Linked DNA regions of Coturnix japonica. The protein of the gene in region 1 purifies or fractionates together with the protein of each later gene. This does not show direct contact. Links are inferred from orthologs where the notes say so. Each region holds a gene or a part of one and is shown on either strand. Other genes may lie near its edges.

Region 1 (10,014 bases):
CATTGTACTCTATGGCACATCACAGTGCATCCCTATATGACTATGTGCTCCATTGTACTCTATGGCACATCACAGTGCATCCTATATGACTATGTGCTTCCATTGTCTGCTATTGGGCACATCAACAGTTGTCACACACATTGATATGTGCTGCCTGTTACTCTATGGCATCATACAAGTGCATCCCTAAATTATCACTATTGCTCTCTCTGGTAGAACTTAGGCGAACATTCACTAGTGCATCCTATATGGACTTATCTCCAATTTAACTCTATGGTACTCACAGGTGCTTCAAAAGTGCTTCAATTTGCTGTGGGGTGTCATAGAAGCTTCCTATTGGGACCCTTCTGTTTGGTCTCAAGCACCCTAAATTGCACCCAGAGCTCTCCAGTTTGCTCTGTAGCCAAAAGGTGCTGCCCCAGGGGCATCCCTATGTGCTCCAATGTACTCTATGGTACATCACAGTGCTCTCAGAGTGCTACATTGTGCTGTGGGGTGTCCTAGAAGCTTCCTATTGGGACCCTTCTGTTTGGTCTCGAGCACCTTAAATTGCGCCCAGAGCTCTCCAGTTTGCTCTGTGGCCAAAAAGTGCTGCCCCAGGAGCATCCCTATGTGCCTGTGTGCTCCAATGTACTCTATGGCATGCCACAGTGCTCTCAGAGTGTTTCATTGTGCTGTGGGGTGTCCTACAGGCTTCCTGGGGGCCTTTTGGAACCCTTCTGTTTACTCTTTAGCACCCTAAATTGCACCCAGAGCTCTCCAGTGTTCTCTGTGGCCAAAAAGTGCAGCCCCAGGGGCATTCCTATGTGTTCCAATGTACTCTATGGCACACCACAGTGCTCTCAGTGTGCTACATTGTGCTGTAGGGTGACCTACAGGCTTCCTGGGGGCCTTTTTGGATCCTTCTGTTTGGTCTCGAGCACCTTAAATTGCACCCAGAGCTCTCCAGTTTGCTCTGTGGCCAAATAGTGCAGCCCCAGGGGCATCCCTATGTGCTCCAATGTACTCTGTGGCACATCACAGTGCTCTCAGAGTGCTACATTGTGCTGTAGGGTGTCCTACAGGCTTCCTGGGGGCCTTCTGGGACCCTTCTGTTTACTCTCGAGCACCCTAAATTGCACCCAGAGCTCTCCAGTTTGCTCTGTGGCCAAATAGTGCAGCCCCAGGGGCATCCCTATGTGCTCCAATGTACTCTATGGCACGCCATAGTGCTCTCAAAGTGCTTCATTGTGCTGTGGGGTGTCCTAGAAGCTTCCTATTGGGACCCTTCTGTTTGGTCTCAAGCACCTTAAATTGCACCCAGTGCTCTCCAGTTTGCTCTATGGCCAAATAGTGCAGCCCCAGGGGCATCCCTATGTGCTCCAGTGTACTCTATGGCACATCACAGTGCTCTCAGAGTGCTTCATTGTGCTGTGGGGTGTCATAGAAGCTTCCTTTTGGGACCCTTCTGTTTGGTCTCAGGCACCCTAAATTGCACCTAGAGCTCTCCAGTTTGCTCTAAGACGCTCTGCAGGCTTTCTGCTGATCCCAAATGCCTGACAAGTGCACCCTAAACAACTCCTAGAGCTCTCACTGCTGTTTTGGGGTCTTGTAGCACAATGCTGGTGTTAGGTTGCTTCAAGGCCAGGCTTTTCCTATGCAGCCCCAGGGCCATCCCTATGTGCTTTAATGTATTCTATGGCACCTTCCTCCTTATTGCAGCCCACTCTTGGTTGCATTCTTATGGAGTCAGAAGCACTTGCAGAGCTGCAGTGACTTCAGCTTCCAGCAGCAGAAGGATTGCTTTGAGTCCTTGCAACCTCACACATGCAGTGAGGAAGAACGAGAACAGAATGCAACAGCTGTAAAGTTTGGGAGCAGACAGCAGATCTTTGCATTGCGCTGCCATACTCAGGGATCTATGCAGGGCTCGGCATGGAGGAAAGAAGCTCATTTATTGTGGGGTGGGCGAGCAGGGAGAACAAGAAGTGATAATGAGGTTTGATCTTGTAATGCAAAGCTTCAGCAGGCAGAAGGGGCAGCAAAAGGGGGAGATATAAAGGCTGGATAAAGGACAATTAGAAGCAGAAGGGTCAGTGAAAGGGGGAGATTTATAGGCTGGATAAAGGCCATTAGAAGCAGCTGGGCTGTGTTAGGAAGTGGCCATGAGGGAGGAGAAAGATGTTGACCTGCAGAATCAAACTCTATAATCCAGAGATGGGTTATAAAGCAGGTATGTTTATTCCAGCATTGCGTAGCGCCGGGTGCAAGGGGGATAGCTCCACCAAACATGCACACCGACTTGTAAAATCATGACACAGATCTAGGTACACTTAATACATAGTCAATGATTTCTGATACATATTCAATGATTTCTTAGACTTCTAATACATTGTCAATAGTTCTAGGAATTCTGATACATATTCAATAGCTCTTTAGCATGCAGACCCCCTCTTGTTCTTATCAGGGGGAATGCAACTCCTCATCCGTGAGGTCTCACTCCTTATCTGCATCCTCCCTGCTCTCCCATAGAATCACAGAATGACCGGGGTTGGAAGGGACCTCAAGGATCATGTAGTTCCAACCCCCCTGCCTGGCAGGGCCACNCAAGGATCATGTAGTTCCAACCCCCCTGCCTGGCAGGGCCACCAAACATACACCTTTACTAGATCAGGTTGCCCAGGAGACCCCATAGATCCCCATAGAGACCCCATAGATCAGGTTGCCCAGGGCCCCATCCAACCTGGCCTTGAACACCTCCAAGGACGGGGCATCCACAACCTCCCTGGGCAGCCTGTTCCAGGCTCCCAGGCCCCTTGTTTCTTTTACTTGTTACCTTTAAGTTTCTTTTACTTCTTTCTCTAAACTACCTTTAAGTTTCCTGCTTCACTCTTCAATGTGACTCATGTTCTCCCCCCACAGGATCCTGTCTCAGGATGGCATCGTTGAGTCAGTGAAGCAGGGCCGGTACTACGAGAAGCCGTGTCGCAAGAGGCAGCGCTTGGCTTATGAAGCGTGCAGGCGTGTGTACAACACTGAGATGGCCCGCAAGATCTCCTTCCTCGCCCGCAAGAGTCGCATGGACCCATGGCTGGGCTGCTAACGGGGTTACAGCCGTCTGTCCTCATGGCCGTCTGTCCTTTGGGTGCTGCTGCTGTTAATAAATGCTGTGTGCAGCGCTCTGCTTCGGCCACGCTCGGGTGTTGCGGTTGGGGGTGGGGGGAGAAGCGCTGGGTTTTGGGTTCTGGGTGGCGTTAATGGGCCGGGCTGGTTCCGCTCGCCCCCACGTGGTTATTTCCCGCCACGCGGGGCGCGCCTTTTCCACCGGTTTCCCGCGCTCTCGTGTCACGTGAGCAAAGCGCGCGGCTTCACTTCCTTCCTTCCATTCTTTCCCGGCAGCCCTCAGGCGGGCGGGACGCGCATGCGCAAAAAGATCCCCGCAGCCATTTCCGCTTCCGCCCCGACGTGCCGTCGCCGTCAGGCCCGTTGTCGCCGTCCGGGCCCGGGGCCTGCGGGGGCCGCGCCCCGCCGCGGTGAGAGGCCGCGGGGAGGAGGGGAGGGAGCGGCTGAGGGGAACGGGGGGGGGAAGGACCGTGAAGGAGCGGATCTGAGGGGACTCGGGGCCCGGCCGTGACGCGGGGTTGCGGGGCGAGGCCAGGCCCCTCCGCTTGGGCCCAACGGGAGCGTTGAGTTGATGCGCTTAAACCCGGGGCTGAGGTTGGGGCTGAGGTTCGGGGTTGGGGTTCAATTAACTCATAACGTTAATTAGAGCCGCTAATTGAAGAGGATCCCTTCAGGAGTTGTGGGAGCTGCCGGGGAACCGAAGGGCTGCGGTTGTTGTGGTCTCAGCATCACGTTAACCGTGTTTTGGGAAGCACCGGAGGGATGTTGACAATAGAAGGACACGGGGAAATAGTTTGGAGTTAAAAGAGGGAAGATTTAGGTTGGATGTTGGGGGAAGTTCTTCACTAGGAGAGTGGTGAGGCCCTGGAACAGGCTGCACAGGGAGGTTGTGGATGCCCCGTCCTTGGAGGTGTTCAAGGCCAGGTTGGACGGGGCCATGGGCAACCTGATCTGTGGGGTCTCTATGGGGATCTATAGGGTCTCTGGGGTCTTTATGGGGATCTATGGGGTCTCTATGGGGTCCATAGGGTCTCTGTGGGGTCTCTATGGGGGATCTATGGGGTCTCTGGGGTTTCTATGGGGATCTATGGGGTCTCTGTGGGGATCTATGGAGTCTCCTGGGCAACCTGATCTAGTAACTGTGTGTGTATGGTGGCCCTGCCAGGTAGGGGGTTGGAACTACATGATCCTTGAGGTCCCTTCCAACCCAGGTCATTCTGTGATTCTGTGGGGTTTATGGAGTCTCTATGGGGATCTATTGGGATCTATGGGGTCTTTGGGGTCTCTGTGGGGTTATTGGGGGTTATATGAGGTTATATGGGGTTATGGGGTCTCTATGGGGTTATGGGGTGGATATGGGGCCTCTATGGGGTTAATGGGGTCTATTGTGGGTTGGAACTACATGATCCTTGAGGTCCCTTCCAACCTGGGTCATTCTGTGATTCTATGGAGGGATGAGGGTCAGTGGGTGCCTCCATGTGGGTGTTACCTGCCCGTTTTCTGCTCCTCTTACGCCCTCAAAGTCCCATAGAGCTCCCAGCACCGACGGCTGTAGGAGCGGCCCAATGATACTGATATGGGGGGGGGAGGGAAATACTATTGGAGCGGCTGCTCTTCTTTCTCCGTCCTCGTTAATTGCAGAAGTTGAAGAGGAACGTGAAGTTTAAGCCAAGTGTGAATTAATCCTGTTTAGCCTTTCTGAGCAAGCATGCAGAAAGCTGTAACGCATCAGCAGTGCTGATATGGCATAGTAATCAGTTATCTTGATGCATCTTGACGCTCAATTAACCTCACCTTGAAGTATTACCTGCTTCCAAGCCTGGACTTAATGATGAATTACTGTAATGATGCCCCTTTGGGCTGTATCTGATGCTCCTTTTTAATGTATCTCATTGAAACCTGCTGTAAAAGAATACAGGGCTGCAAGCTGTGTCCAGCCTTCTCCCTATGGATCATTAGGAGCTTCCCAGCTGATGCTTCAGCCCCTTTGCTGCTCTTTCAGATCCTTCTCTTGGCTGTTTTTCAGTCTCTAACTTGAGAAGCTCTTTGTTACCACATCCAGGATCTTTGCTCTCAGCTTTAGTGATGATAAGTGTATTTTGGATGCTGTTTGCTCTCATTTTAAGGTAAAGGCTCCACAAGGTTTCTCCCATGGGCATGAAATGTTGAGGTCAAACATATTTCCTTAAGAAGATTTTCTCCTGTTTCCAGATAAAGGAGACTTGGTTTCCAAATCAGATTAGTGCCTGGCTACGTAATTAAACATTATTGCATCCGCTTCATTGCAGCTTGTGTTAAAGAACTGCTAACGATTAACGGTGGGAAATTATTGTCTTGAGTCTGATTTGGAATTGGATTCAGTAGGAGCCAACAGGGCAGCAGTGCTGATCTGCTGCTTCATTTAAGCAGCAAACACAAAGGTAGTCAGGCATGTGCTGATTGTTAAGTATCAGTAAACCTAAATGAGATTGAGTTCCCCCTGGTCATTATAAGGGAGGCAGCCTAGAGCTGGGAGTGTGCTCGGAGTTGTATGGGAACCTTATGGGAATGGGAAGAACTCGAGGTGATCCAAGTGTGTGTGAGATGTTGCTGTATGTGTTTAAGGTGTTGTTGTACATGAAAAGCTTCTACTTGTGCTCCTGGAAGTGGTTTGTGGGGCATCTCTAAGTGGGCTGGCGTGAGTGTAGCTGACAGCTGATTCAGGCTGTGTTAGCAGGAGAAACCACGGGCTGAAGCAACACCAAGACCAAGCTTTTCTCCTCCTGTGTGTGAGAATCTTAGAATTATAGGTTGGATGTTAGGGGGAAGTTCTTCACTAGGAGAGTGGTTAGGCCCTGGAACAGGCTGCCTAGGGAGGTTGTGGATGCCCCGTCCTTGGAGGTGTTCAAGGCCAGGTTGGACGGGGCCCTGGGCAACCTGATCTGTGGGGTCTCGATGTGGATCTGTGGGGTCTCCTGGGCAACCTGATCTAGTAAATGTGGATGTTTGGTGGCCCTGCCAGGCAGGGGATTGGAACTACATGATCCTTGAGGTCCCTTCCAACCCGGGTCATTCTGTGATTCTGTAATCTGTGTGTGGAAGTGGATCCTGATTTACAGCAACTGGAACATGCTTGCCTTGCATTCTCCCAGTTCCCTTAAAGGAAGGGTGCTCTTGTGCTGGTCGGGGTTAGGACATTCTGCACTTCATTTCTGCATAAAACCCATGAGCAGAGTTTCTCTTCTCACAGTTTGATGTTGCATCTTGTCTGTTCTTTACTCCTGTGTTGCTCGTGTAATTTTAGCACATGTTTTAAAAACAAGGGAGTAAAAATAACCTCCAGGAGTTTTCACCAGCTGCAAGCCCTGTCTTCAATGCAACAAAACAACGATCATCTGATGCTTTGTCTTATTAATCTCTTCTTGTCCTGTTTGCTTTCTTGACAGGTACGAGCAAGAGAACTGAGCTCAGCTACGAGCAAAAATGTCGCTCTCCAAAAGGGAATTGGATGAGCTGAAGCCATGGATCGAGAAGACAGTGAAACGAGTGCTGGGTTTCTCCGAGCCCACTGTGGTCACTGCAGCACTGAACTGTGTTGGGAAGGGCATGGACAAGAAGAAAGCAGCTGGTATGTCACACAGCCCTGAGCTTGTGTCGGAAGCAGTCAGGCCCTTTGGCAGAAAGAAATGTATATAACATGCAGACAAAAACCAGATTCTGTTATGAAATGAAAGAGTGTGTGTTGGCATCCCCCATTTCTAGACACTGTGTTATGTTTGAAGCGGCCTCAGATCAAGTTTATGCTCTTTCCCTCCATCTATGGGAGGCTGAGCCTGTGCTGCTGGTGTGTAAATGCATGACAGGTTGTGGTTTCATTGCCACTCAAGGCTGTCAGTGTCTGGGAGATGGATGCCATCTGTGTTGATCTGGAGGCAGATTTGTTCAACACAAGCTTTTATGCTTAAAACCAAAGCTAAACAAACCCTGGAGCTCTCACATTCATCTCTGTGCACAGTGATAGGGGTAACAACTGACAGCCTCAGTGAGGCAGAGGTAAATATGTGCAGGTGAGACAAGTTCAAAAGCTTTGGGATGTACTGCAGAAACTTAATCTAGTGGAGGTCTGGACTCCAGTACAGTGAATTTAAACTCCTTACTGCAGGATGTCCTTTTGTTTGCCCTTTTTCTTAACTCTGGATGTCAGCATCTGCAGATCCCAGAGGCTTCCTGAGCCCTGATTGCAGGCTCCAGTGCATTAGTTGGGTTGAAGCTGTGTTTAAATATTGTTTTGTGGCTTTGCAGAGGTCTCTGTGAGTTCTCCCACTCATCCTGAGCTGTGAATTCTGCCATTGACACAACTTCTCTTCTTTCTCAGACCATCTCAAGCCCTTTCTTGATGACTCCACCCTGCGATTTGTGGACAAGCTTTTTGAAGCAGTGGAGGAAGGGCGAAGCTCCAGGCACTCAAAATCCAACAGTGACCGGAATCGAAAGCGAGAGCTAAAGGTGAGTCCAGGACTGATTATTGATTGTGGTTTATTGTTGTTTGGTGGCTTTGGAGGCAGCACTGGTACTCTGTCACACTTTCCTCTTCCAGAGAGGTACATCTTGTAATGCTTAAAGTTCAAGAGAAAAGACCCTTCTCCATGATGAAGTGTGTGAGCCTTTACCTTTCAGTTCTCTTTGCCTTCACACCAGGTAGCAGAACGCTGTCCTTGGTGGTGTCCGAGGTGGAAGCCTGAGCTTTTGGTTTCTTTAACAATCTCTGCTAGGCTTGTGCAACGAAGAATCTCAGATAGCAGGGCTCCATATCTGCTTCCTCTCCTACTCATGACTGTTGCATTTGGCAGTATTGACTCTTGACTGCCTTGCAAATTGGGGTAGTGTGTCCCACCTCACAGTAACTTCTCATTCCTCTTCCTTGCTCTGATGAGCAATGTTTCAATCTGCCAGCTGACGGTGCCCTTTTGCAAGTGAATGGGTGAGTGATCTGATAGGTTTTCATTCTCTTTTCCATCTGGAATCCACAGAGGGCAATTGTTGGCAACTTCTTCCCCCGCCACCATAGCATAAGGCTGATTACAGCAGGGATGTAATAGTTCTTTGGTGTTTCTCCCACCTAACGCTTGTCTGGGATGGGGAAGGCTCATGCATCCAAACCTGTTTTCACTTCCTTTGTTCTCTTGAAGACTTTACTGGCCACCTTCTGGAAATCCATTTTTTTCATCACTCGCATACTGAGTTTAAAAGTGGCTACTCTACATGCTGCTCCCTGCTTACAAAGTAAGTTTCCTTTGACTTTTTCTCTGAGGTTCCTATGTTATGGTAAACTGTATTGCTCTGTAAGTTTGTTTAGTCAGCACCTGAGCTCAGTTATAATCCTTTTCAGGTTTCAGTTTATCCCTCCTCAGATGTGTTGGGAGACTGCTGCCTTCGCTCCCCATTTTCTATTAGAAACTTGTTTTTTTTCCTCTCACTCTCTGAAGGGGGTTTTAATACCTGCCAGAGAAGGGCCTCCTCTGGATCTCAGATACATTCATCCTTTAAAGAACAGTGTGTTTAAGCAGTTTCTATCCTGCCTGTTTCAGTACAGCAGCAGCAGTGCAACCTCATTCATTGATCTGGAGAGGGCTGGATTTTGGGTCTCCCAGTGAATGTTATAGCTTAAAGGACTACAGGTTTCTGCAGCTTTCTTGAACAGTGATGCCAATAAGCATCTACCAAATGTTTCTGTTCTGTGGTTCCACTTTAATTTGGGTTTTAGCCTGGTACACACACTTGTCATGCCACGCTGCCACTATAAAGCAAGATTTTGACTAGGCTGTTTTTCTGCTAGCTGTGCCCCCTCAATGCTTTTGCTTTTGACCTCTTGTGGATATGGAAGAGAGATAGTAACATCATGCATTGTATTGCTGCATAGTACTCTGTGGTGATAAGACCTCCTGCCACAGCATTATAGGGAGATTTGTACTGTCCTGTGGCACTGCTAACATGCACAGATCCCACACTTCTTCAGAAGTTAAATTCAGAGTTAACATGTTATTGCACCTGGCTTCAAACTGTCTTGTCCTCTCATCTTCCTTGTGGCAGTGGCCAGTGCACTGCAGAACAGGGGGAGGGGAGGGAGCAGCATCCTGTTGCAGCCTGGCAAGCTGTCTCACACTGCACATTGAGGCAGGGATGTGGCTGGGTGTGGGGTTGGTGACTTTTCTCCAGTGAAACACCTGCTTGGGTATCCTACATGACCACAGATAGTTGATGGTGTTCTTGGCTTCTAAACTGACCCAAAGCAGGCCTGGGATGCAGCAGAGCAGACCTATCCTCATCTCTTGGCTCCTGGTATGGAGACAGGCATCCAACCTGCCTTTCTCATCAGCTCCTGTCTCTGGAATTACATCTTGGAGATCCTTTGTCAAGATCTGTCCTCACCCTTTTGTAGAGTGAAATGGTTAATTGAGGCTGTCAGATCCTGATCCTGCATAGAATGAATTTTCCCACCACCACTTCATGTCTCAGAGTTGAATTTATACTTACACACTTAGCTCTATAGCATCAGGAAGTGAAATAATTCAGGATGGTACTTTCTAGTCATATTAGATGTCTTCAGCATTCCACCCAGCCTTTCTTCTCTCTCTGGTTAACTCTTGTGGGGTAGGTCATTGCTTGGGAAGTTTCAGGAACTAAAACGTAATGGTTTACACACTTTATACTATGGGCAAGTCCTTTCTCTTGAACTTGTAGGTTTTCCAAGAAGTACCTGTCTCTGGATGAGGATGTGTCCTTGTAGAATATGAACCATTATAGTGAAGAAGGGATTTCAACTAACGCTTACAACCGGTTTGTATATTTTCATTTCCAATAACGCTCTCACACACAATGCAGGAACACAATTGCATGGACAAATCCAGTTCACCATACACAAAACTGGCACTG
Region 2 (10,014 bases), on another chromosome or scaffold:
ATTGGATCTTCGGACCATTCCTCATACTCAGCATATGATGTGTCCATATCTGTTAAAAAAGACACGAAATCGCATCACTAATGCACTCAACAGACTAAATAATTGGAATTCAATCTCTGCTTGATTCTAACGTGGTCACGTTTCTGTTTATAGTTTTATTCCTTAACTGTCAGACTACCATATGACTAAATGATTCAGCTTATAGGTGTAATTTGAACAAAAACTTAGGACAAGTTGCTCATAATCATTAGCTTTTCCTTTACAAAACCAAAGTTGCAAGATTTTCTCAGGGCTTTAAAGAAGAAACCAACCTAGATGCTTTCAATGGAAAAATAAGGAAGTTTAAGACCTTTTTCCTGTATGCAGATAAAGAAGCAAGAAAAGGGACTTGAGGAGTTTGAAGTATGAAACTGATACAGCAGGACTATCAATCCAGCTGTCAGCATGTATCATTTACCTATCAGCCAATGCTCGTACACAGTGAGCTTCTCAGCTGAATTCCTAGCTCCTAAGGGTCATGCTTTGTGCTAATTACTTGTACTTTAAACAGCCTGAATGACCTCAAACTATGCAGCATGGAAACAGATAAACAAAGTTTCAATGACTACGAATATTTCCGAACAAACGGGAAATGTGCATCATTCAAGGGGCCCCAAAGGCAGGCAAATGTAATTGATCCATGAATACTCAAATCCAACAGCTGCAATTTGTGTGGCTCTACCAAAAGAATAATCACAATTCATGCCTACTTTGCCATAATACAGTTTATCCACGCCAACTCCCCCAAGCACGCAGGCTCTCACCTAACAGTGGGATCCCCAGCTGGCGCCTGAACAGCGTGTGGATCCTTTCAAGCTGGCTGCAGAGCATCTGCTGCTGCTCAGGCGACGGAACGCTGCCAGGAGCTGGCTGCAAACAAAAGGATTGAAATTTAATCAGCCCCCTCAAGCCTGAGTTGATGGACACAAGGGGGTATTGTTTACGGGTTGGTGATCTGGGCTCCAAACCACTACTACATGATCCTTGAAGAACACACATGGCCAACTTGTATTTCACGTGGCTGCTGCTAAAGCTAAAACCTGGAAACTGCTAGTCAGAAGCTGACGAAAGTACAAAGCATCCCCCAGTGAAAGCAGACACTGGGAAATGATAACCTGGAGAACAGTGTGTGATCATTCCAATTCACAAACCTACAGATAGGTTTTCAATAAATCCTTGATGCTTGCAGAGATGCTTTAAAACTCAATTCTTTTCTTTTTACAAGCAGAAGAGCATTCCCCCATTACTCCTCTGCATGGGCATTTCAATACTGACCAACTTTCACGTCTTATGTAGCAAGCTACAAGGAAACAGAAATATTGACATTCTAGTCATCTCGCAAAGTCTGATGTTTCAAAAAGGGTGAAACAGTGAATAAATTCAACACTGAGGCATAAGGCAGCCTAGAAACGCAAACATCACTGATTATGGGCAAAAGTATTCACTAGAATGAATAATAATGCTTAATAATGAAGCTACTTATTCTTGTCAGTACAAGCTAAAGAAGTAGAGTAGTTTTGCTTCTGGTTGTGAGGTTTTATGAACATATTTTAACACACCTCCACTCTTACAGAACACAGAACATTTTTCTCAGTCCAAACAGTCAGTCTCTACAGCTGAAAAGAAACAACTGAGTGACACCACAGCCTCATTTCTCCAAGGAGACTGATAAGCAGCATAAGGTGACTTCGGAAGCTCCACCACAGCCTCTAACTGACAGCAGCCCATCAGACCAGCCTTACCTGTGCTGTCTCCAGGATGGCATTCTCAAACTCACGGTACGCTTCCCACAGAGCTGTTCCTTTTGTCACGTGCAGCCCAACCGCTGTCAATGCTCTCTCAAATATTGAGCGAACTTTCTCAATTCCTCCTTCCTGACCAATGCCACCGATTGAATACTGGGCATATTCCAGCCAAATTTCAGGACCTAAACAAAGTTATGAGAAACAGGAGAGCTGATGTCCTCGAAAATACAAAGGCATCTCAAATACTTATCCAAAGGCATAGAAATTGTCTTTACTATTCAGTATAATAGACCTTTAAATGTTTTTTTAACTCCCACACATTAAGAACTTACAGATGTAATCCTTCACGGCTCTCTCAAACAGCTCATAAACTTTCTCTCGCTCTGAGATCTCAGAAGCCATTTTTATCTCATCCTTCAACCAGTCCAGCCAGATTTCTGAAACCAAGAAGTTTACAGTCACCAACGCTTGGAAAAAAACTTTTCCCTTTACATTTTTGGTTATTTTTTAATAACAGGCTTAAAAATGGGGATAGAGAAAATGGGGAGAAAAAGAGCAATTTTAAGTCCCCGCATCTACACACAATTAGTTTAAATGAAAAGTTTGGTACTGATGTCTCCAACCTAGTCCTAAGCAAGTATGCTTCTATTTAAAGAGAGATGAAGCTGTGAGCAGCAATTGGTCAGCACCATGCACAGAGAATGCACATAGGCCAGCAAAGAGGCATTGAGTGGCACAGTTTCCTTCTTTTTTACAAGAAACAGCAGATGGCTTTAGAGGCTGCAGGTTCCCACATGCCTAAGAGGAAACCTTCACTTGCCAAAGCTAAAAGCCCACTGCCAGGTATTTATATTGTTACAGTGTTAACTATAAATAAAAAGAAAGGCCTGCTTCAAGTTGAGTTCAGAGCTTCAATCTGATCCTTTAGGCTGGAACAGCATGGCTGAAACCTGGCACAAAGAGTATTTCACACTGATGATGCTTCATCAGTATTACCAGCTGCAAGGAGAAGCAGCTCTGTACCTTCAGTAAGTGGGAAGAGTTCACTCATCTTCTGCCGAGCTCTTCTGAGCTTCACCAGCTCTCCCTCTTGGCGGAGCAGCTTTATCAGATCCAAGTGGCAATTGTAGTCAAAAGCATTGATGGAAAGCTTTAAAGAAAATAAAGGAAGTTTTTAAAGGCTTGCAGAAGTCAGCAAATACTCAGCAGAACAGAACTTTACACACTGTTTTCTATGTGTCACATCCCTGCAGTTCTTGAACACCTCCAGGGATGGTGATCCCACCACCTCCCTGGACAGCTTGTCTCAATTCCTGACTGCTCTTTTGAAGAAGCAGTCATTCCCAATACTCAACAAGAACCTCCCCTGGTATAACTTAAGGCCTTTGCCTCTTGTCCCATCGCTGTTATATGGGAGAAGAGAGCAACTCCCACCCTGCTACAACCTCTTTTCAGGGAGTAGTGGAGAACCATCCTACAATTCTGTGATCCCCAGCTCCCTCAACCTCTCCCCATATAGCTCGTACTCCAAACCCTTTACAGCTCTGCTGCCCTACTCCAGACATGCTCCAGGGCCTTGATGCCTTTCTTCTGTAGTGAGTAAATTAAACGCAGCACTTAAGATGCCTTGCCTTCACCAGGGCCAAGTACAGACAGACATTCACCTCCCTGCTCAGTTACACAGAATCACAGAACTGTAAGTGACAGGAAAAGGCAAAGTCCTCTGAGGATCCCTCAGTCCAACCCTCCCCCCAGCAGGTAGCATTAGAAAGCATCCCAGTGGATCCTGAGCATCTCTAAAGAAAGAAACTCCACCACCTCCCTGGGCAGCTTGTGTCAGGGCTCTGTCAACTTCACAGCGAAGAAGTTATTTCTCACGTTCAGATAGAACTTCCTGGGTTCCAGTTTGTGCCCACTGCCCCTTATCGTGTAGCTGGGCATGGCTGAAAAGAACCTGGCCCCATCTTCACGATTTCTACCCTGACAAGTGCTGCTCCCTCAGCCTTCCCTCCTGCCTCAAGGGCAGCCTCAGGGCTCCTCAAATAGAAGCTGCAGGCCCCGACCACCTCTGCAGCCCTTCATAGAAGATCCCTGTTACTAAAGCTGGGCTTTAAAGTTCTGCAGAAGACTGAACTCACAGCCCTAAGGCCCGAGAGCCCCCAAGTACAGACACAGCGCTAACACCCAGTGAGCCCTCCTCAGCAAACGCGTTTTAATTCCTTCAAGATCACTAAGGAAACCACCATCTGAGTTCACTTTCAACATACCAGGGCTGCTCCCTGAGTCTCTCTCGCCCTGAAGCGAGGAATAAAAAGCGAATTAAAAGGCATCACGCCCGGAGGCGTTTCCAGATCTCCATAACCAAAGCACGGTACAGCCGGGCCCCACCTGCTCCTCCAGCCGCTGGATCTCCGCCTCGTTCTCCTTCTCCTCATCCTCGCCGTCTCCTGATGAATCCGAGTCGCCTTCATCCTCCGAATCCCCCCCCGACTCGGGGTCTCCCTCCACCACACGCTTCTCCTCCTCCACCGCCGCCTCGGCTCCCGCCGCCGCCATCTTGTTGCAGCTCGCCTCGCTGCCGGCCGCTCTCAGCCAGCCGATGGGGTTGGCTACTGCGCGCCTGTCTCAATATTGTACATTCCCCCCAGCCAAAAGCGGTGAAAGAAAGGACGATAAACTCTCCCGACAAGGTTCTGCTCTTCTCCGCGTCCAACTGCCACGAAAAGCCGAGCAGCTCGGCCCGTTACTCCTTATAATTTAGTCTGCTGCAGAGGCAGCGCCACGGACACCTCAGGGCCTCGGCCTCCAGGGGTCCTTCGGGAGGGTTGGGGCAGAGCGCCGCTGCCAGGTGCGGGCAGACTCAAGATGGCGGCGCTGAGGGCGGCGGGGGCGGCGCTGCTGCGGCCCGGGCGGGGGGCGACGGCGGTGGGGGGGGCGGGCTACCACAAGAAGGTGAGAGGGGCCGGGTAGGGCTGTGGGGAGCCCATAGTGCCCGTTGGGGGTTGTTAGTGACACGTTGTTCTCGCAGGTGGTGGATCACTACGAGAACCCGCGGAACGTGGGCTCTCTCGATCGCAACGCAAAGAACGTGGGTACGGGCCTGGTGGGAGCCCCGGCCTGTGGAGACGTTATGAAGCTGCAGGTGAGGGGAGCACGGGGTGCCCTGTAAGGACACAACCATCAGTGTCTGCCACCATATGGCTGTGACATAGGATTCCTCCGTCACACCCCCTTTAAGCCCCTCTGCAGGCCCTAAAATCCAATAGACCCCCAGCCTTAAACTCGCTGTCCCTTTACGCCCCTCTGCAGATCCTAAAATCCAATAGACCCCCAGCCTTAAACTCATTGTCCCTTAAAGTCCCTCTGCAGGCCCTAAAATCCGATAAACCCCCAGCCTTAAACTCGCTGTCCTATCGCTGTCCCTTTGTGTGTGGTTCCTACGTGGAACTGAGCGCCCCTCTGATAACTCCCACAGGTGGAAGTGGATGAGAACGGCCGCATTGTTGATGCTCGCTTCAAAACCTTCGGTTGTGGTTCTGCCATCGCTTCCAGCTCCTTGGCAACAGAGTGGGTGAAAGGGAAGACGGTAAGGGCTTGGCTTAAGGGGCACAGTGGGGAGCAGGTACATATTCACACCCACTGCTGGGATCAGGGAAGGAAACAGGGGTCTAGAGAGGTGCTCTCCAGGTGTTACACTCACATAGAAGCTCAGAATGCAGTTTCATCTTTCCTGACTTTTAAAGCAATATTTGCCTTTTCTGGAAGTCTCCAATAAGCTGTGAAGAAGCTTTGGGTGCTACACAGCAATCGAAAATAGATAAAGAAAGCACTTGTATAGTGGAATGTCTTCCATTGGCTGATCTCCGTGTGCTTGGCATTGTGACAAGCAGGTTGTTTCTATATTACAGCAGAACAAACCTGGAACAGTCCCTGCAGTTGGTCAGCAGTAAAATAATGCTCTGGTTTATTAACAAGCACTGCACACTTTGAGACATTCCTTATATTTCATAGAATCAGGGGTTGAAATGGACCTCTGAGTATCACCTAGTCCAGCTCCTCTGCCAAAGGAGGTTCCCTGTAGTAGGTTGCAGATTTGTTGCTTGGCAGGAGCAGAATAAAACAGGTATTATTGAAAGGCCTTTCTTATGGTAGAACACTATCAGCAGCTTTTACTGCCTTCTCAGAGCGTGACTTTGGTTGGTTCCAGTGCTTTGAAGCACACCTGTATCAAATACCTGCGTGGTGTGTGGGCATCATATGTACATGTGTATGCCTGACTGATGACTGTACCCTACCCATACATTTCAGATTGATGAAGCATTGAAAATCAAGAACACAGACATTGCAAAAGAACTTTGCCTTCCTCCGGTCAAACTGCATTGCTCTAGTAAGTAAAGCATCAAACACGTTGTTATTTGAGAACACAGATGCTTTTGTACGTTCTCCAAATAAAGCTTTGCACACATAGCAGCTAAGGCTGACCCACAGTGGTGGTTATTGCTGGCTGCTTCTGCTTGTACTGCATCTTTTGTTCTAAGTGACTTGTCACTGTTATTTAAAGTGCTTGTAAATGACATTGTTTTGTGCTCTTTTTCTCCCCTAGTGCTGGCTGAGGATGCAATCAAGGCTGCCTTGGCTGACTACAAACTGAAACAGGATCCAAAGAAAGGAGAGTCAGAGCAGAAAGCAGACTAATTCCTAAACAGACTGTAGAGGTTGTCCTCATTCCAGTTCAATTTGCAGTGCAATTATTCTAGCTGTTAATAGAATCCTGTGCACTACTCAAGAAGCTGTAAGATACGCACAACTCAACGCACAACGTGTCACTGGTCATGTGTGTACAGCCACCCTGGTAGTGCTTAAATGACTGGAACGTGGGTATTTCAGCAGCCTGTGTCCTGTCAGGATTGGTTTTGAAATGGTGAGAGTGAAGGGCTGCTCTGCTTCAGGGCAACCCCCCGGTAGCTTCTCAAGAGAGAAAGAATCCTCCTGTTCCAGCATTGGAAGGGCTGCACTTTTTTTCTTCTGTATAGTTTTGCCTAATGTTTTACAAAGAGTTTGGTGGGAAACTTGGTTGCCTTGGTCTTTATGTGGGTCACTTTGTCAATCAATACAGTATATATAAATCTCATGTGGTTTGGCTGCAGCTGTGTTGGAGTTTGGTTTCACAATCTGTGACCTCTCACATGCTGTCTATCCCCTGCGTCACGCTGCTCTCTGGGAGGAGCTGGGATGCTTCACCAGGCACTAGAGGGCACTGACTGTGGGAGGTGAGCAAATAACAGCAGCTGCAGTTGGTTGCCAGGAAGCTCAGAGCCAGCAGCGTTAGCAGGACATGTTTGTGTTCACATCCTCCAATAGCAGGAGGGTTAATGTTGGAGCATCTTTTAAAAGCATTCAACCCTTTAGTTTGCCAAATACTGTTAAGGGAGATTAAACACACGCTGAGGATTCAAACCCAGAATGCAAATAGCTTAACTGGGATGTAATACTGAGGGGAACCTCCCTGGAAGAGCAGGAGTCAGCCTGTGCCCTCTGGGGGTGTCTTCTGAACTTCCCCCATCCCTTCCAGGGCAGAGAGAGCAGCCAGTGCTCTTGGTACTAAGCCAGGGGCAGAAGGGGATCCTTACCTGCTGCTGGAGCTGATTTTGGATGCTATTTCTGATAGCTTCTGTTGTTGCCTTTGGTAGTTTTAGGGCTGGATTCTCTTCATTTGTGGAAAGAAACCTCAAAAACACAGCCTGGCAGATACCTCCCCCGAGCAGCTCTGTGTGCACAGCTAAAGCTGCTCAAACTGCTTCGCTGGAGGAGTGAGTTATGAAGAGAGCACAGGGGTAGCACTCACCAAGTGGAGGATTTGCCCACCCACCACATGAGCTGGGCTCCTTGGGAGCGTGGGGCACAGAGTCAGTTCAAAACAGGCGTTTTATGGCCACACAGCATGGCTTACCCTCTGTTCTTTAGACCACTGTGCTCCCCTGTGCCTCACAGCGATGGCTGTTTTCCAAGGGAGTGTTGCCACAGATCTTCAAATCAAAAGAAAATGCACTTAAAAACCTCCCTTGCTCTTATAACATCCTCACCCCACGCCCCACCCTATCTTCCTTTCCAGTTTTCATACCTATGATGTTGCACAGCTGCATTAAAAACAACATTCAGTAAAAATAAGTGGCTCGTTCTGGTTTCTGTCTGCAATGTAATTATTTTTTGAGTTATTATTTTAAGTTGTTGTCACTCCTGTTTGGGGGAATCCTTTGGTTTCCCTGCAAAATGCTGTCAGCTGGAGTAATGGGGATATATTAAAAGCATAGAGCGACATTGGTAAAAGGATGTGAGGTGTAAGGATAGATGACAGCAGATACAGTTGCTTTAAACCCAAGAAAGGTAGTGGTCACAATCCAGTAATAAAGAAAGAATTGCTCACCCCATTTCCAAGGATCAGGGCTCATCAAATGTGACAAAGGAGCCAATCTCCAGGTAGAGATGCTTCCTTTGTGGCTGCCAGCCCTTAAATGAGGTTAAGGAGGGGTGGACCCAGGTGAATTGCTTCCACCTGTGCTCCCAGGGCTGACTACACCCCTTCACCAGCTGCTCAATGATTCAGCCCATGGCCTAACAACTCCCATACATGAGGATACAGGGTTGTGCTGCCTTCCAGGTACATCAGACACTTGCCTTCTATTAGCACGCCCTGCTGCAGGACAAAGCACGTGTCTGAGTTCTCAAAGCAAACCAGTGTGAGATCAGGAAACAAACCTGTGTGCATCTCCCCAAAGAGGATCTCAGGCCAGAGCCCTCCCCACTCACAGTGCTGGCTGACACCAGATAAGGGTTTCTGAGAATTGCATGCAGATTGTGCAAGTGATAACAGTGTCCCCTGGCTCTGAGAGCGTCACCAGCAGCAAGCACACAGCTGTAGGGAGCATTACTCCCCTGCCCATCCTCATGTCCTCAAGCTCTGCCAGGGAAGGATGGCACTGAGCCCACGGTTTGCCTACCCTGACAGCTCCAGAAACACACATGAGAGGAAGAAATGTGCATAGTAGATGTTTTTATTCATAGCAAAGGGGGTTAAGAAAATAAGGCAAAAGTCCAGCTCCTTTCTGAGATCCATTTGCTGTGCTTTCTGAGGGGTCTGTGACATTCAGGGCTTGCAAACAAAAGGACGGGGTCATTGTTGCTGCATCCTCTTCCCTCCTGCTAAGGTTGGCTAAGGTTTTCCCTTTCTTTTTCTCACCAAAACACATCTAGAATGCCTCCAATCTCCACCAGGCACTGCAGGGTTGGGGGTTGGAAAAGGAGGATGGGAGCAGCTGACCCCCTCATCAATCCAAGGGGTCTGCAATGTCCCCGGGCCCCCATAGAAGGTCTGTACTACCAGCAGTCATGAAGTCATGGGTCATGTTTCCTCCATGCCCTATTGCCTGGGTGTGGGCCAGGTTGCAATAATGAGTGAAAATAACATCTGCGAGAAAGCTGTGCAAGGACGGTGGGGAGACCCAGCCTGGGCTTTTCTCTTTATTTTTGGGGGGAATCCAAGGAAAGCACCCATGGAGAAAGCACAAGCAATGGGTTTGGCTGCACTGAGCACCGCATCAGCCCAAAGCGCGGCTCAAAAATGGCCTCCCATGGCTGCATGGGGTCGGGGGGAGGCATAGGAGGGGGAGTGGGGCTTCATCGGGGCTTCCTTGAGCCTCCACGTTCGGGTGGGTGGTGAGCAGGGCAGCCAGGAGCCCGGCTCTGAGTCCATGGTTGGCATTAAGTGCTGGGAGAGCCATCTTGGGCCTCCTTGCCCTCTGCGCTTGTTGCCTCCGGTCCCACTCCTTCAGCATCTTGATTCTGGGGAGGGGGCTCAGCGGGGTGCTTGCTGACTTCTTCCTCCCTGCCCTCATGCTCTCCCTGGGCACCGGCCCCATTGGCCAACGGTGCTTTACTGGGAGATTTGAGGTTCTGGGCTGCAGCCAATATATCAGCCTGCAGCTGTCGGCCAGAGTCCAGGGGCTCCTCAGCATCAGGGTCCGGAGCCTTGTCAGGCACCTCGCTGAAATCCCGAGGCCCTCCGGTCTTGTCCCTTTGGTCCACGTACTTCTTTTTGGGGAAGGAGGACGGGTAGTAGGCTGAAGCTTTGTGCTTCTGCCGCACGATGACGGCGGCGCAGATGATGAAGAGCAAGACGAAGGCCAACGAGCCCACAACCACCACCAGCAGCATGTACTCCTTGAAGAAAGCC
Region 3 (10,014 bases), on another chromosome or scaffold:
GAGCTCAGGATACGGCCCCAGCACAGACCCAAAGAGCTCACAAACAGGAGGCTCAGCTGAATTGTTTCAGGCCCGTGATGGGCATCAACAGCTCAAAGAGCAGCAAGACGGAGGGAGCTGCCAGTGAAAGCTCACCTGGTGCTTTTCAAAGCAACCTCACAGCAAGATTTTAACCAATTACACGGGAAGACAGGGAGGAAGAAAAAGTGAAAACCTTTTAATGGACCTACAGGATCTAGTCAAAATCACTGGCATACAAAACAAAACTATTTTACCCCAATCAGTTGTGACCTGCATATAAAAAACTATGAGCCAGATGAGTCTGGTGGGTTGGAGAGGCTTCAGTTGGAAGGAGGTGGAGGGGGAATAGTGCCCGGCCCCTCTGTGGGGAGGGGGGGTCTCATCATGGGTGGCAGAGGAGCAGGGGGAGGGACACCGGGCGCTGGGGGGAGCTGAGGTGGCACTGGAGGGGGTGGGACTGGTCCGGTTGGTGGCATGGGGGGCAGAGTCATCCCTCCTGGAGGAGGTGGAGGCATTGAGTCCGGCAGAGGGGGTCTGGGGGGCAACCCGTTCATCAGCGGGGGTGGAGGAGGCCTCTTCACAGTCGGAGGGCCCGGAGGAAGGTTGGGAGGAGCTGGGGGCTTCTCCATTTTGAAGTGGAATTGAAGGAAGAACTGGGGAGAGGGAGAAAAGCAAAGAGAAGGGAACGATCAGCTCTCAGGACAACTTTGTGCCATCACACATCAATGATTTTAGCACCAAAGCCAAACAGATTGAACTCCATGGTCTTTTCCCCCAGGCTCTGCCCTCCCCCACCCCCTCTTCAACCCTTAAGAAAGATGCTGCCATGCTCCTGCTACCTGTTTGGTTTCCCTGTTCCAGTGGGTCCAAAACTTTCCCTCTGCTTTGTCGATTTCTCTGCTTGGCACCTGCAACAAAAAAGAACAGGGAGCTATTATTAGCAGCACCAGATTAGCTCAGTGGCCCTTTTTAGCACCAGAGCCCACCAGATAAGCAGTTATTCCAGGCCTTTGTGAGATGCGCTCGTCTCGGATGTTATTAGATAGAGATGGGGGCAGCAAAGAATTGAGTTACTTCCCTATCGGTCAAGGACAAGAATGCTGGCAGAAAAAACCCCTCTAAACATCTGCACAAAGGCTGAGAGCAGAGACCAGGAGGATCCTTTTTGCTCCAGACACTAAGAATTCAATGGCTCCCCAGAGCTCAACGCAGAGCCCGGTTTTCATGCCAGAGTCCTCCAGTAATTCTCAAGCAGAGTTTAACAACTTCCAGTCGTGTCTTCTTCACCTTCCTTTCCAGGCCATTAACCTCCCCAAAGGCTAAAACAGAACAAGTCTATGACGGCCATCACTGGGAACTAATGTCCTGGAAAATATGGGAACTCTCCCTGCCATCAGTCAGTCCCAAACATTACCTTGAAGGCGATGGTTTCGTAGGGCTCTGCTGCCATCAGGAGGTATTGCCAGCGCCGATCAGGGGGCTCAATCCTTTGCTCATACGCTGACATGAAGCGATGGCGAGGCATGATGCTTTCTGCGATCTCCGGGTAATCGATCTGTTGGGGTATTATGGCAGGTTTACAACACTCCTCCATACAGAACAAACTCTTCAGCTATGCAAGAATTCAAGGGAAGCTTCTGACTGCTCATTTAGCCACGTTTTTACTTGGATAACCCAGAAACCAAGAATCTGATCTTACCTGGAAGAGAAGGCTCTGCTGGCCTGTCTCTGGATCTCTCTGTTTGGTCACTATAGAGAAAATAAGAAAGCTCAGTACACTACATAAAGGTCAGTACAGTATTACTTCAGCCCTAGGAAGATCCAAACAGCAAAACATGACAGGATTTTGTTTCCTATTTATTAAATAAAATGCCACAATGCCTTCAGCCAAAGTTCCTGAGGGTATCTACTGAAATGCAGCTGCTGTGGGGCACAGACACTGACACAATATGCATGGAGATAAAGAAGCCATGTCTTGTACTGAAGGCCAAAATGAAACAGAGGGGAAAAAAACTGAGTTATACATCCAGTGGGTGACTTGTGAGCAATAGTATATTGCTCTGCCATAATAGAGATGGCAGAGCACAATAAAAGGGAAAGAGAGACTGAAGCAATGCCACCATCTCCCATATGACTACAGTAAGAACTGACAGAGACTGAGACGTACTGATCTATTATTAAAATGGCTCTCACTCGACTGTCAGCAATAAAGAGACAACCCATGGGTAATTTAAACAATAAAGGACATCAGGAGATAAGCCCATATCTTATTTATGGATAGCTCTGCTAAAAAGGCTGATGAACAATTCATGCCCACAGCACTGCACTTCAAGCAAGCTCCAGCAGCCACGGGGTATCTGCTATGACAGGCACTGCTGACAAACCTTTGTAACCTGGTCGTCCAATTTTCACAAACTTCTTCACTTCCACTTTGACTTTTTCTGGTGCAGGTTGGGCAGGAGCTTCCTTTGCTTCCTTGGCAGCTCGACGAGCCCTGGGTTCATTGGAAACGCGCAGTGTTAAATGGTTATCAGCACTTGGTTCTGAAGGATACTCTAAAAGGCAGAGTGAGTTCTGTATGACGGAGCATTCAGCACTTCACAGAAAGCATAATGGGAAACTGCTGCTCCTCCTCCACAAGCACCATGGGAGGCCAGTTCCACTCCTTGCCTTGACTACAATCTGTCACCTCCATCACCTCACCCACTCCTAAGAGGACTTTGATGTCCAGCTCCACAGATGGAGCTGAGATGACTTCTTAAAAGTCAAAAAGGAAATGAATTACACAAGCCAGGTATCTAAAGCAGAGCAAACCTGAATTCTTAGATTAAAGCTTACAAACTTTTCTCAAGCTGTATTCATAAAACAGCTTCCCTTACAGTTATACTTAATCTAAATGCCATAGCTGGCTTTGAAGTGGAGCTTGTCAGCACCACTGTTCAGAGCAGAGCTGGTGAATGCCTAGGAAACAAACAGAGACAAAGAGCATTCAAGCCCAGAGTGCTACTACATGATGGAGGCCAAGATTTATAGGTGCTCATTATCTAATTTTAATGTGCCCAAGTAATGGAGAATAACACGGTGGAGAATGACTTACAGATTGGTCTGATGCTTCTTCCCCTGCGTATGTGCCAGGTAACTTCCCTGGGGGGAAAAGAAAGTTATGAAGACTGAACTGTTCCTGAACAGAAAGATATTTGTCACAGATGAGAGGTGACATTTCACACTGACAAAGATATTTTAATCCTCAGAGCACAGCAGAATCAAACTCACAAATTTCAGATTGCTCACAACTGCTGAACTGTCAGAAACTTGTCATGCTTAACACACACAGCCTCTGCTCCCCCCATTGGCCCTCCAGCAATCAGCCAACGGGAACAGCTTCGGTTCCAGCACTTGGAGCTAGAATTAGTCTAAAATATCTGCTGCCATGGAGATCAAGACAGACAGCTGCTCAACTCACCTCATTGTTATGGAGCGTCAGGCAAAGCTTGCATTCATAAGAACCCAAGTGATTTTTCATAAAATAGGGGTCCTAGGAAGAGAAGGATTGAAAAGTTACATGTAAAATCTGCATTGGAACAACTGAACAACCGAGATTCTAAAGCAGAGCTGCACTGTAAGAACTCTATGAGCTCATGGAGTGAAGGGATCAGCACAACACTGCTTTAGGAATATAGAGAAAAAGGAACAAGAGCAGTTGTGTTCACTGGTAACAGCACACCCAACTGCAGCATAATAAGAACCAGTGCCAAGACTGAACATAACAGAAGCCCAGTGCTGGTATCCCTCTGCTTGGCCCTTCCACATGTTGCTCGAGTCCCTCATCAGTGGGAACAGAAGTATTTATTCCACTCCACAGATCCCCACTAAACCTCTCACTCTCTGCTGAGATGAAGCCCTGACCTCACCCCATGTAGCCTGCAGGACTGGGGCTCACCTTGTTGATGTCAATGGTCTCCAAAGCCAGTTGCCGAAGCCTCTCCCTGCGGTCTCGGTTGCTTTCTGAGGCTGAAGCTACGCCTCCACTCCCCGTTTTACCTCCAGGACGGTGCTGAAAATCCATGGTGGGGATTTCTGGGCTTTGGAGACTTCAGGAGAAAAATAAAATAAAAGTCTGGAAAAATGAAGAAAAGACACATAAGTGACAACACAGCCCTAAGCTGGGCCTCGCATTGAGCCCTGCCACGAGGACACGGCCCAGGCACTGCCATTACCTCAGCAAGAGACAAAACCACCCCCAGCCCACCTCTACCCTCTCACACAGGGTCACACACCCCCCAGCCACTAACATGGGGGTCACAACCCCCCAGACACCCCCTCACCCCCCTCTAAACACCCCCATTCCCTCAGCGAGCACCAAAGCTCACCTCAAAGCCCCCTACAAACACCCCCCGAACTCTCCATGCCACTTATAGCCCCCCAGTTTCCTTTTGGAGGGTCCTGTCCCTCCACTAAGAACCCCTCTAAGCCCCCTCACCCCCCTCATTCTCCAGTGCAGGTCACAGGCTCCATAGGTTCCATAGGCCCCACAGGCTCCATAGGTTCCATAGGCCCCACAGGCTCCATAGGTTCCATAGGCCCCACAGGCTCCATAGGCCCCACAGGCTCCATAGGCCCCACAGGCTCCAAATAGGCCCATATGCCACAGCCTCTATAGGCCCCATAGGCTGCACATGCCCCATAGGCCCCACAGCCTCCACAGCCCCCACAGGTTCCATAGGCCTCACAGGCCCCACAGGTTCCATAAGCTCCATAGGCCCCACAGGCTCTATAGGCCCCACAGGCCCTTATTCCCTTAGCGACGGTCACTGCCCCGAAACAATCCCCCACAGGGCCCAAGACCCCCCTCCAGACCACCCCATCCCCTCAATGAGGGTCTCACTCCCCCATATCCCCCCTTTAAGCCCCACATCCCCTCCCCCTAAATCCCCCATACCGCCGTGCTCAGCCCCGCTCCCGGCGCATGCGCTCTGCCCTCCCCCTTCCATCCCCTCTAGTTCCGGATAGAGCACTACCGGGTCGGGTATGGGTGGTTGTAGGGTTGGGGTGGTTGTAGGGTTAGGGGTGGTTTGTAGGGTTGGGGTGGTCGTTTGGGGTCCGACATGAGGTACAACGAACGGGAGCTTGCTGTCCTGTCCAGGCAACCGGCAGAGAAAGCGGCAGAGATCCATGATGAGGGTCCCCAAGAAGGGGCAGCGGTAGAGGGGGGGGTGGGAAGGGGGTGAGGGTGGAAGATGGGGGGGTTAATTGGGGGTGGGAATGGGGAGTGATGGATTGAGGTGTGGGATGGGGGTAATGGGGTGGGGGTGGGATGGGGTGGGGTAATGGGATGGAAACTGGGGGTATTGGGATGGGGCTGTTGGAATTGGGGGTGCTGGGGCAAGAGCTGGGGTGTTGGGATGGGGGTTGTTGGATAGAGCTGGAGGTGTTGGGATGGTGGTAAGGGATGGAATTGGGGTAATTGGGATGGGGGTATTGGGAATGGAACTGGGGTATTGGATGGGGTATTGGCATAGAGCCTGGGGGTGTTGGGATGGGGGTATTGGGATGGAACTGGGGGTATTAGGATGGGGCTGTTGGAATGGGGGTGCTGGGGCAGAGCTGGGGTTTTGTTTGGGATGGGGTATTGGGATGGGGGTATTGGATATGAGCTGGGGGTGGGATGGGGATGGGGGTGTTGGGGTGATAGGATGATGGGATGGGGGTAATGGGATGGAACTGGGGTTATTGGGATGGGGGTAATGGGATGGGGGTATTGGGATAATGCTGGGGGTGTTGGGGTGGGGACAGGAGTATTGGGATGGGGGTAATGGGATGGAACTGGGGGTATTGGGATGGGGGTGTTGGGATAGAGCTGGGGGTGTTGGGATGGTGGTAATGGGATGGAATTGGGGGTATTGGGATGGGAGTACTGGGTCAGAGCTGGGGGTGCTGGGATTGGGGTATTAGGATGGAGCTGGAGGTGCTGGGATGGGAGTATTGGGATGGAAGCACAGGGATCAGAACGGTGTACTGGGATAGGAGCGCTGGGATGACAATGGAAGTCCTGGGGTGGAAGCACTGGGATGGAAATGGAGATGCTGGGAGTGCTGGGATGGTTTGGGGGCCCCACACACGCTGGGCTCGCTGTCACATCACTCCTTTCCTTCTTCAGTGTTAAAGAAGCGCCTCGTGAAGCTCGTGGTGAACTTTCTCTTCTACTTCAGGACGGATGAAGCTGAGGTTCGGATCCTGCTGCTCCTCACACACACACAGATACACACACGCACCTTTTTGCTTCACGTTTATCACGTGTGCTCTGTGGATCAGTGCAACACGGCGTCCTCCCTTCCCCCTGCACAGTTCAGGCTCCTCGGTGGGGGTGAGGAGAAGCAGTGCCAGCAAACCACACCCTGCTGCTTTCTACAAACACAACCATCGCCCTACAGCAGCAAAAGCTGGACTCTGTCTCGTGTAGTTACAGACCTCACATAAAACCGAGGCTGCTAAAGATCCTCCTGTTCTAAAGATCCTGAATCAGCACAGAATAACCTTTATAATGAATATTTAACCCCGATCACGGCTCAGCTCTGTGCTGAGAAATGCTCTTTTCTTGTTTCTGTGGGTAACTGCCAACGTAGAACTGATGCACTGGAAACTGGCCCTCAAACAGGTGCTTCAGCACCAACGGCTGCTGCCTGATTCACAGTCAACCCCCCATTGAAATCCTATGTCCAAACTAAACAAAAAGCGAGAGGTTTTCATTTGTGGCTCATTCCACCCTGTGGTTCTCATGTCCTTGCTCAGTATGTGCTGGCTGGCAGCCTGTCCCTACAACTGCTTCCTTGTCCTGAGCTGTTCTTCATCCACACACACTGTTCTTTAACCTCCTGCAAAGCTCGAAGGCCGCCCTTAGGAAGTCAAATGTTAAACAGTTTATCTTTGTTCGATTTACTCTGCAAGGAAGTAAACTTTATCGCTGCCTTTGCGGGACAGAAAGGAATACTCAAACCCACATTGATTGTGAGCACACAGAGACTCTTTAGAGGACACTCTGTAAGCTCCATGGGTTCAGAACACTGTAGCTCTGACAGAGTGTGCTGAGCCCCCTCTCTTTATCTTTTCCAGCCCATTGGAGCGCTGCTGCTGGAGCACTGCAGGATCACCAAAGAAGAGGAGAACGTTTTCTCCATCAGTGAGTTCTGTATCTTTGTTCCCTTTGCATTCCCCTCGCAATGGCTCTCGGTAGAAGGAAACGTTTCCTGCTTTCTTCCTGCTTTTTCCCATTCTCTATCTGTGCTTCCCAACCCTCCTCCCCATCCATTGCTGGTTGGTGCAGAGCTGCCAAGCTCCAGCCCTGGGATGGCACTGTCTGCCTGTTGGTATGATGGGCACGGCTGTGTATGAAGAGAGGGGCAGGAAAAGCAGCCGGCCCACAGCTCAGTGCTCATAGCTGTCCCTCTCAGGAGGGCTCAGTATTGACAGATTGCTGCTTCTGTGCTGTTGCACCTTATCAAAACCACAAGCAGGCTTCAGATAAAGCATCTGTGGTGCTGATGGGGCAGCACTCCTCCCGCCGTGCTGTGTCCTTGTGTCGATAGCCGTGGCTCCAGCTGCCTCGCTCTGCGTCGGCCTTTCATCCCAACAAATAATCATTGTGCGAGAGGTATGTGGCAAAAATAACAGGATGTTTCTCCAAGGCCATCCCCGTATCTTTTGGCCTGGCAGTCAGGCACAGCTGCTTCTCAGTGCAGAGCCACCTCCCCGCTCCCAGCCAGCAGAGATGGAGTTCTGCCCATCCCACGCAGTCTGAATGCAGTCGGGAGCGTGTGGGGCTTCAGCATTACCAGAGCTCTGCTGAGCAGAGGTTCCCAAGAAAGGTGTTGAATGTGATGGTGCTTGGAGCCGGTCTATGTCCCGTACAGCAGCTCTGAGGGGTTGGGTGCAGCCTGACCCAGTTATTTCCCCCCATCTCTGTGCGCTGTGTACTAAAAAGCAGAGCTCTGAGGATGATGTTAATTAATTAGATGTCCTGATTCTGTCTTGGTAAAGACTTAAGAGTTGCGCAGGGAGTTGTTTTTCTGCTGTGCACAGTACTGAATTCCCCAGAGCCTCCAGCAAAGACAGGTCAGTACCTTCTTTTGAGTGTGATTTCATTCCTTGGATGGCCGCCCTCTGCACACCACACAATCTGTTCCTCGGGGCCATTTTCCACTCTGGTTACTAAATCTCCCCTGACGGTTTGTAAGGAGGCTCAGGGTGTTTCATTCTGCATTTGCCCAGCCCAGCTCCAAAACTGTCACTCTTTGAGAAGCTGCTTTTTCCCCTCCGAAGTGTTTGGCTGCTCTGAGCTGACAGGAGCTGCAGGCAGCTGCTCAGGGCACCTGGGAAACACAAAGCAGAATTGCCTCTGCAGTTGGTGTTGCCTTTGGAAGTGTCTCTCCCAGGCAGGAGTGATGCTGAAGGCTGCTGAGCTGTATGAGGTGCACCTCTGGGCCACCATCACTCCCATACAGCTCTAACACAACTGCATGGTTATGCACTCAGTGAAGGGAAGGGCAATGTTGAGGAGTGGCTGTTGTGTTTTTTCCAGTGCCTTTCTATCAGCAAACAGCTTCCTGAGCTGGATTTGCAAGTGTACAGGGGCAGGCTTGTCTCGGCCTTTGCTCTTAGCAGGCAGAGAAAGAGTGTGACTCCAAGCCATAGTTAGGAGCAAGACTACAGGGTAAGATGGAGGGGACAAAGGCCTGGGTTCCCACCTGGTTTTTAGTTCATCTTAGATGAACAGTGGTGCTATTTGCAGCCTATTTGAGGAGGAGGAGCTCTGCCAGGACCTCACACCTTCTCCTTCTCCTTGGCAGGTTTCATTGAGGAGCCAGAGAGGAAGTATTGCTTCGAGTGCGACAGCGAAGAGCAGTGCCAGGAGTGGATTGAGGCGCTCAAGAGAGCCAGGTGGGCTGAACCCCAATGAGAAGGGTCTGCTTTGTGCTGCACATCCACTGCAGCTCCACATTGTTTGCTTCCTGGGATCAATTGGGGTGAACCTGGGGAGGAAAGCAGCTCCCTCCACCTGGCCAATCTTCCCTTTGGCTCTAAATCACTTCAGAAACTTCCCCACGTTCCTTTTTGCTCAGCCCACTGTTCTTTTCTTACAGCTACGAGTTCATGAGAAGAAGTTTGATTTTCTACCGGAATGAGATCCAGAAGATGACAGGGAAGGTGAGTCCCTGCAGTTGGCTGCTGGGGTCGGGCTGGATCTGTGGCCTTGCTGCTGTCCCAGCTCCCCCTGCCCATGTCTCACCATCACTTCCCCTTGCTCTCCTTGCAGGACCCCCTGGAGCAGTTTGGGATCTCGGAGGAAGCCCGTTTCCAGCTGGCAAGTCGCAAGCAGTAATTAATTCCACAGGCTCCACTCTGGAGGGGTCAAACCCACCTGCACCCCAAGAGGAACAGTGGCAGATCCCCCCCCCCAGCAACGACCAACTGACGTTTTAATTTATTAGCCAAATGGGACTATTTTTTTTTTTTTAAATGATTTTTTTTAAGGGAATTCTTTGCACATTCCCACCTCTCCTGCCCTCCCGCAGCCACGTGGGCAGCCATCAGACTGTGACCTTGTGCACCGATGCTGCTGCAGCCATGGGAGTAACAGCAGGAGCAGAGGAGGAGGGACTGAGCCGAGCTCCAGCACTCACTGTCCTCCAACAAAGGCTCAGCCCTGGTGCCAGGAGCTTTGGGGCCGGCCTTGTGCCAGTTCCAGCTTCCCCTTAATCCCTGCCCTCCTGCTGGGAGCTGCTGGGCTTCTCTGGCTTAGGGTGTTCCTGTAGGATGATGCTCTGCCTGTTGGCATTGCTGTGCCGCAGGGTTAACCCTGCTGTGCTCTCTTCAACACAAAGCCATTTCCATTCAGAAAGGCTTCTGTGAACATGGGCATCACCCACTGCCACCAGCACCTCCTGGGCTGCTCTTCTCTTTGTCCTTCTCCAGACAGGCGCTGCTCATTCCTAGAGG

The links.
Region 2: the proteins of PRPF3 (region 1) and SART3 purify together in Homo sapiens (affinity purification with mass spectrometry; 5 studies listed by BioGRID and IntAct, counting the BioPlex papers as one, with this or other methods). This does not show direct contact. The link is inferred for Coturnix japonica from reciprocal best matches to the Homo sapiens genes PRPF3 and SART3.
Region 3: the proteins of PRPF3 (region 1) and SF3A2 purify together in Homo sapiens (affinity purification with mass spectrometry; 3 studies listed by BioGRID and IntAct, with this or other methods). This does not show direct contact. The link is inferred for Coturnix japonica from reciprocal best matches to the Homo sapiens genes PRPF3 and SF3A2.

The regions. Positions count from the first base shown.
Region 1 is NC_029540.1:1,890,196-1,900,209, reverse strand, and holds the start of PRPF3 (U4/U6 small nuclear ribonucleoprotein Prp3), read left to right. Parts: upstream 1-3,385; 5' UTR 3,386-3,512; intron 3,513-6,527; 5' UTR 6,528-6,564; coding exon 6,565-6,709; intron 6,710-7,456; coding exon 7,457-7,587; intron 7,588-9,822; exon of another isoform or gene 9,823-9,918; intron 9,919-10,014. Other genes in the region: MRPS21 (28S ribosomal protein S21, mitochondrial), read left to right, coding at 2,902-3,082. UniProt on the Homo sapiens protein: Plays a role in pre-mRNA splicing as component of the U4/U6-U5 tri-snRNP complex that is involved in spliceosome assembly, and as component of the precatalytic spliceosome (spliceosome B complex).
Region 2 is NC_029530.1:5,665,172-5,675,185, forward strand, and holds the start of SART3 (squamous cell carcinoma antigen recognized by T-cells 3), read right to left. Parts: upstream 4,596-10,014; 5' UTR 4,341-4,595; coding exon 4,173-4,340; intron 2,935-4,172; coding exon 2,808-2,934; intron 2,222-2,807; coding exon 2,117-2,221; intron 1,967-2,116; coding exon 1,782-1,966; intron 910-1,781; coding exon 804-909; intron 50-803; coding exon 1-49. Other genes in the region: ISCU (iron-sulfur cluster assembly enzyme ISCU, mitochondrial), read left to right, coding at 4,650-4,736, 4,813-4,926, 5,260-5,370, 6,093-6,171, 6,388-6,479; TMEM119 (transmembrane protein 119), read right to left, coding at 9,543-10,014. UniProt on the Homo sapiens protein: U6 snRNP-binding protein that functions as a recycling factor of the splicing machinery. Promotes the initial reassembly of U4 and U6 snRNPs following their ejection from the spliceosome during its maturation.
Region 3 is NC_029543.1:1,222,398-1,232,411, forward strand, and holds SF3A2 (splicing factor 3A subunit 2), read right to left. Parts: upstream 5,018-10,014; 5' UTR 4,961-5,017; intron 4,139-4,960; 5' UTR 4,088-4,138; coding exon 3,962-4,087; intron 3,557-3,961; coding exon 3,485-3,556; intron 3,166-3,484; coding exon 3,119-3,165; intron 2,516-3,118; coding exon 2,406-2,515; intron 1,771-2,405; coding exon 1,721-1,770; intron 1,577-1,720; coding exon 1,436-1,576; intron 930-1,435; coding exon 861-929; intron 675-860; coding exon 342-674; 3' UTR 198-341; downstream 1-197. UniProt on the Homo sapiens protein: Component of the 17S U2 SnRNP complex of the spliceosome, a large ribonucleoprotein complex that removes introns from transcribed pre-mRNAs.